Yarrowia lipolytica: one gene and its partner. The protein of the gene in region 1 purifies or fractionates together with the protein of each later gene. This does not show direct contact. Links are inferred from orthologs where the notes say so. Each region holds a gene or a part of one and is shown in the gene's direction. Other genes may lie near its edges.

Region 1 (3,718 bases):
ATGCTTTTGTAGACCATGTTGATTTGAGGGTTGCGTGGGGGGAATAGAGGGGATTTAAACGTGTACATATAATTGTTGTCGCCTGTTGAACATATTCATGTACTTTTTTTGCGTCGAAAACGGACCTAGCATGCCTATTTTGAAGTCCTCTTTTCCACGGAACAAAAGAGAGAGAGCCGAGAACCATAAAAGGTATTAAACTCTCGCTGACTAATCAATCGGCTATAAATGAATGTCACCATGGAGGTCCCTTGATGAGGTAGTTGGACCATCACGAACAGGCTGAGCTTCTTACTGTCAGTTTAATTTGGCTTTGAAAGTGCACATTCCCGGTTCCAGTCTGGAATATTCTCATTTGAACGAGTTCTGGACGACATTGTGAGGTTGGGCTGGACGGACCTGAAGACACTATCAGACATCTGGGGTCTTTAGGGACCGTGTGGAAGCGCAACGACTCTGTGTTTACCGTACTTATAGTGTCGAATTGCTCTCGGTTTGTCGAATTGCTCTTGGTTTGTGCTCTCCCAAGGTTTTGTATAGTAAGAGTGGAGCAGTGATTGATACGAGGTGTGATTGTAATGGGCGATTGAATGGGGGTGTTGAGGAGGTTAAAGTCCTGAACGATGGAAATTTTGTATCTTGTACAATTGTGTTCTTTTCAGTTCAAATTTCAGAGTTGTAAGGTCCTTTTTCAGAGATTTCTGGTGTCTTCTTAGGCCCATTGATTGAGGAGGTATGGCCAAATGACCTCAACAACGGTAGAGAAATTCAGTCGTTTGATGTGTTGCAGTAATTTGATGTTACTTTTCAACGTCTTTCCCATGTCTTTTCACTTGTTCGTCGTATCTTTCGTCTGTTTCGCACATGAAATATATCGCGTTAAATTGAGTCGACCCGAAATCGAACCCACATCCATCTCTCGGGCACGGGTAAAATTTGGATGCAGTTCCACAATCAACTTCAAAGGTAAAATAATTTGTTCCTCCGATCACAGACCGAGCGTGAGTATCAAAGAGGAGGATGAGGGACAAGAGCAACGAGGGAAAGAGCTGGTAGCAGCTCTGATCTTCTTTATACAAGTCCACGAGCAAGATTGAAAGCAATTCTGCTCACATTGAGTGGTACATCATACAACCCCTGGTGTTGCAAACGTCTCCATCTTGAGGCGGAATTGAGCTGTGATGGAGAAAAGTGCTGAAGTCTCTGGAAACGTGTCGTGTCGCATTGTGGTCGGCTCTTTTTTGCCCGCATTGCGCGAACCGGTTCAATCAAATACCCCCGTGCCTGGAGACATTGCTGTGTGTCTGTCTACCCCACACACTGTACAGGAAGGGACACAAAGAGAGCTCCGACGTTCGGCCGAGTTGTGGGAGGGAGGTGGTGGCTCAGAGATACTTAATGGGGTGTTTCCAAACCACCACTACTTGACCTTGTACACGACAGTGCGACACACATCACAATGTGAGTAGACACAATCAGACTCAGACTCAGACGGACGGTCCAAGCCACATTAGCTACTTGACACTAGACACTAGACGCCAGTGCTAAGAACAATGATGCATAGACAGACACAGACAGGGGCCACAAACCAGCACGCGAAATCGACTCGGTGCGTTTGACCGCTGTCTCTTGTCTGTGCTTATGTCCTGTGCGCCCCCCACGAACCATCTCACCTGTTTATCTCCGCCTTGGATTACCCCACCACAATACAGCCTACCCTAACCACCCAACATGGGGACCTTAAAAGACTAAGCTAACCCAGCACACCCAACATGTTGCGAACACTAGCCCGAACTAGAATGCCCCTGCGAGCTCAAATCAACACCCGATTCATGTCACAGACCACGGCGGCTGCCGAGGAGTCGCCTGTACTCTTCAGCGACAACGGCACCACCCGGACCATCACCCTCAACCGGCCCAAGAAACTCAACGCTCTGGACGACCCCATGTGCCGAGCCATCTTCCCCCGCCTCAAGGAGTGGCTCAAATCCGACTCCGCCAATGTCGTGCTGTTCAAGGGCTCCGGCAACAAGGCTTTCTGTGCCGGAGGTGACGTGGCTACTCTTGCCAAGCAGAACGCTGCAGGCGCCCAGGGCATTGAGCAATCCAGAGACTTCTTCTGCACGGAATACGCCATGGACTTCCTGCTATCCGTCTACCCCAAGCCCGTGATTGCGCTCAACCATGGCATCACCATGGGTGGAGGTCTGGGTGTCTCCATGCACCTTCCCTTCCGAGTGGCCACTGAAACCACCCTCTCGGCCATGCCCGAGACCTCAATTGGTTTCTTCTGCGACGTTGGCGGCACCTTTTTCCTGCCCCGACTCGACGGAGAGCTTGGAACCTTCCTGGCTCTGACCTCGTCCCGACTCAAGGGCTACGAGGCTGTGGCTGCCGGCTTCGCCACCCACTACATCCCCTCCGCTCGACTAGACGATCTGGAGAAGGCCATCGCTTCTCTGGACATCCCCAAGGGCCGAGACGCCACCGAGCTGTACTCCCAGCTCAACGCACTGCTCAACGACTACTCGGAGGTGCCTGCCAACTTCAAGTTCCAGTACGGCGGCGAGTTCCGAGCTCTGATCGACCGAACCTTCAAGTACGACGCCATTGAGGACATTGTGGCAGCTCTGAAGCAGGAGGGTGAGGCTGGTGAGAAGATCATCAAGCTCCTGGGCGAGCGATCCCCTACCTCTGTCAAGGTGACTCTTGCCGCTCTGCGACGAGGCCGAAACCAGGACATTCAGTCCGTGTTCAACGATGAGTGCAATTACGCCGAGAACTTTATGCACTCTCGAGAGTTCATTGAAGGTGTCACCGCCAAGCTCATTGACAAGCCTGCCCGAGAGCCCCAGTGGGAGCCTTCTTCTTTCGAGGGCGTGACTCCCGAGATTGTCAAGTCGTTTATCCAGAAGCGACCCGGCTCCAAGAACGACGAGATGGAGGTGGTCATCAACGATACCTACAAGCAGTACCCCTGGAACTTTGGCTTGCCCCGAGAGGTGGAAATTGAGCAGTACATCAAGGGCGAGACCCGATCGTCGGATTACAAGGCTTCCCCTGCCGAGGTTGTCAACCACTTTACTAACAAGTACTCTGGTAAGCCTGGTGTGAGCGAGAAGGTCAAGGAGGTGATGCAGCGAAAGACCAAGCCTGATCCTAACGAGCCCAAGGTTCTTGACTGGGTTAACTAGACGAGTACGAGCGTAGGCGGTGTGCTTGTACACTATGGCAGTAATGACATAGATGACGTGTATATAAGAAAGATATGATTTGAACAAGACTGAAGATATTGTCAGTACAATAGTGAATAAATACATTAGTTAAAGTACAATACATGGTGGCCATCCTACAAAGCCATACTCTCCAGCACGTCTCTCTCATAAATAATGTCCAGTCCCAGCTCCTTCTGGTCCTCTCCCAGGCCCCAGGCCAGCCCATAAAGCTTCATAACTTGTCTGAAGATGGCGGCTCTGGAGTTTTCACCAAACTTTTCGACGCGGAACTTGAACAGCTCTCGGTGTGTTTTTTCCGTGGCGGCACATCCGGCGATGGCCATGGCCCAGCCAATGATACAGGACACGTAGGAGCCGAGCTCGATGGACTTAAGCTCCTCAACGGCCGCGGTCACGTGTCCTACAACCTCCTCTGATGTTTCCTGGAGGTCTGGGTTGAGCAGTTTCTTGGCTAGCAGAATGACGGCCTGTCGCATCACCCG
Region 2 (3,468 bases), on another chromosome or scaffold:
CTCCCACGCCGCCTACTTGTAGTAGAACTGAAGCTGAGATGCCAGAGCTACCAGTGCGAATGCCGACAAGCCGCTGAGAAGCCAGCCGAGACGCACTAGAGCAAAGATCGTAAGACACCTCCACGGTCAAGAGCAATGCAACAGTCTGAGTGAGCCAATGAGTCCTACACGGCAATAATGCCAAACGCCCGTCCCTCCAGCCAGAGCAGAGCCAGAGCCAGTACCACAGAACAGAGCTAGTAAGTCCAAAGAGCAGTGAAAGCCAGATCCAAGCCTGAGTCAATCAACTCGGACGGACAGCCATCCAGAGTGCTGTACACATGTTGCATGTCGGAAAATGTGAATAGGACGTAGGCAGTTGAACCTCCTCAGGAGGATGTAGGCTGACCGAACCTATGCTGTTAATTAATCAAGGGGAGTAGGTGAAAGAACCGCACCTCTTGGGATAATACATTAGGCCGTTGAGCACCTCCCCGTATTGTGAGTTGTAGTAGGTAGAAGTCGTATACAGTCGTAAATACAGTACATATAAACATGTCTGAAAACAGTCTGTTTTCTCAAGTGAAATTTTGGGGTTACCCGGCCTGGCAGAATAAGGGAAGTGATCACAACTCCAGTTGTAGTCCCTAAGGGAGCATTTATAACCACACCAGCGTGTTATTTGGACCATTGCGATCATTCTGGTATCCAAATAACGCACTTTGGCGGCTTCTGACCCAGTATATGTCTGGGATATGTTGCACTCGTGGAATTAACTAGACTTTAGTTAAGGCCGTAAGTGGTCTGGAGTCTCAAATTTGGGATCATTGGACTATTTCTGAAGTGTGAAGACCCTCAAATCATCAATTAAGCCATTATTACTCGAATAATGTAACATCATTTCCACATTCCCTTACATACTGTCAAGTAGTCGCAGTCAACGCCATATTCCAGTGTTTGTATATACTTAGGTTTTAGTTGGAGTGAAATCGCAGACTACAGGCAAGCAGTAGAGCAGGAATCAACAATGTAGTCAGTAACATCTGATTACCACGGGATTGACACTCAATCAGCCGTTTTTCATAAACCAGATGAATATACAAGCATTTCCTATCTAATTGAACAACAGTATCTGTCGAAACCCATCTAGATACGAGTTTTCTCTCATCCATTGGTATTGAGATCGGCAAGAGGGTCACTACCACGGTGGTCTCCACGAGAATCACCAAAAGAACGAGATCAGTAGTTACAATACCCATGAAACAACACTTGATTAACGTCTTTTCCCTTTTTCTCCAAGGTCTCATCAGTATTGAGATCACTCTCTTCCTCATTTCTCACTTGGTCACTTCCTCACTTACATAATCAGCATTCTGCAGATACAGAATCTCTCAATAGTCCTGATATCAACACAACACAGTCCAACTTGAATCAAAAAAAACCAAAAAAAAAAAAAAAAAAAAAAACCAAGTGGTCACCTCCATCGTCTATCACGTAACCGGTTCGTTCCATTTCCTTCAAAAGCCCCGTTATCTTTCCCTCAATATCGCACTCAACACACCCCACATCCAAGAGCCCTCTGTCGCTGATTCACCTCCCAATGTTACCCTACCTTTGTGCAAGGTGAAATTTCCAATTTTCCAGCACCAGCACAAACAACAGGGTACCACCGAACATGCTGAGATCTATCCGACGGTACTCGACCAAGTCGCCGTTCGCCAAGGTCGGCTCCAAGACCCAGTCCTACGACTACCTGCGAGCGTTGCGGGTCACCCCCGCCGAGACTTTTGCCGATGTCCCTCTGTCTCCCGAGCTGGAGCAGGAGCTGTCCACCAAGTTCCAGGAGTTCCAGAAGGCTCTCAAGGCCGGTGAGAAGCTGGAGCAGGTCAAGGAGATTGCACGACAGGCAAGAGGCACCAAAAACGCCGCTGCCGGCGGGGACCCCCAGGCCGATCTGTCTTCCCTGATGGGCCGAATCGACAGTAAGAACATCCGAGTGGGTAATGACCAGAGTAAGATTGCTGCCATTTTCCCGTTGCTCAAGCGAACCGCCCGAGATGAGGAGTACACCAAGCAGGAGCTGTTTCTGCGACGACAGCACCGACACGATATGCTCAGCAAGTTGGGAGCCGAGGTCAAGGGCGTCTACGATCCTCTCCATATCATCAAGCATCCCAAGAGTGGCACCGAGGCCACCGTGACCAGTCTTCTGGCTGCCGGCGCTCATCTGGGCCATGCCGTCGAGCTCGGTCACGTCAACAACCAGCCTTTCATCTACGGCGTTCGAGACGGCATTTCCATCATTGATCTTGAGCAGACCGTCACCCAGCTGCGACGAGCTGCTCGAATCACCGAGGCTGTTGCCAAGCAGAACGGTCTGATTCTGTTTGTCGGCACCCGTGACGGCCAGAAGCTGGCGCTCGAGGCCATGTCGCGACGATGCGGCGCTTCCTACGTGCACTCCAAGTGGATTCCTGGAGCCATCACCAACTTTTCCAACATTGCCGCCAACTGGAAACGATACGAGGTGGTGGACGGCGAGTCTGGAACCAGCTTTGCCGACATCAACCAGCACACTGGCCGAGAGTTTGACGCAGAGATCTCGGGCCCTAACATGCGACCTGATCTGGTTATCATCCTCAACCCCGACGAGAACCCCGCTCTGATCCGAGAGTGTCTCAAGTCCTGCATCCCCACTGTCGGAGTGGCCGACACCAACTTTAACCCTTCCAAGCTGTCGTACCCCATTGCCGCCAACGATGACTCTCTCCGAACCACGGATCTGATCACTGGAGTGCTGGCTCGAGCAGCCGAGAAGGGACACAAGCTGCGACGGTTCGAGGAGCAGCAGCGACGAAACGCCGAGCTTCTGCACATGAAGAAGAATCTTGTGCAGGCTGCCGATGAAAATGACGTGACCGAGGACCCTTTCTCCTCCGGAGAGGCCCACAAGGAGTAATGTACATATAGGAGACCATGAATGAGAGGTATTCGCGAGAATGCCAGTGTATTGAATAACAGAATGACACTGTGACCCTCGAGCAGATCGAGATATATGACTAGTAGTGAGAACAAAATTGAGACTGTGCATGTACTGAGCTCTTCTATAGAGAATCGAAATATGAAGACTTTGGAACCGTTCTACGATACAATACATACTTGTAATGTCTGAGTATGGTGCGAGTAGGTAGTACGATAATGTGGTGGGGTGGAATGAAAACAACGCTGTTGACTGCACTGAAGTAGATGTTCAATCATATCATACATGTTAATCTATATATCGTGGTCTTGTTCAGTAGTACATAAGCTGTCATCTTGCTATGCTCAAGGCTCATGTGCACCAGACGCATTCCTGTACATTCGCATAAACCGCGAAGTCGGCTTCTGCTGTGTACCGCCTCCAATCTGGGGGCTCTGGGGTTGCTTCATGGTCTGCGACATATCCATGAGCTGCTGCGCGACCTCAGGCTTGATTCGGTCGTACCGTCG

What was found.
Region 2: the proteins of YALI1_D07981g (region 1) and YALI1_F17431g purify together in Saccharomyces cerevisiae (affinity purification with mass spectrometry; 4 studies listed by BioGRID). This does not show direct contact. The link is inferred for Yarrowia lipolytica from reciprocal best matches to the Saccharomyces cerevisiae genes EHD3 and MRP4.

The regions. Positions count from the first base shown.
Region 1 is NC_090773.1:796,158-799,875, reverse strand, and holds YALI1_D07981g (mitochondrial 37S ribosomal protein mS47), read left to right. Parts: upstream 1-1,772; coding exon 1,773-3,194; downstream 3,195-3,718. Other genes in the region: YALI1_D07945g (uncharacterized protein), read right to left, coding at 3,350-3,718.
Region 2 is NC_090775.1:1,741,298-1,744,765, reverse strand, and holds YALI1_F17431g (mitochondrial 37S ribosomal protein uS2m), read left to right. Parts: upstream 1-1,654; coding exon 1,655-2,938; downstream 2,939-3,468. Other genes in the region: YALI1_F17444g (uncharacterized protein), read right to left, coding at 1-274, 321-329; YALI1_F17383g (uncharacterized protein), read right to left, coding at 3,304-3,468. UniProt on the Saccharomyces cerevisiae protein: Component of the mitochondrial ribosome (mitoribosome), a dedicated translation machinery responsible for the synthesis of mitochondrial genome-encoded proteins, including at least some of the essential transmembrane subunits of the mitochondrial respiratory chain.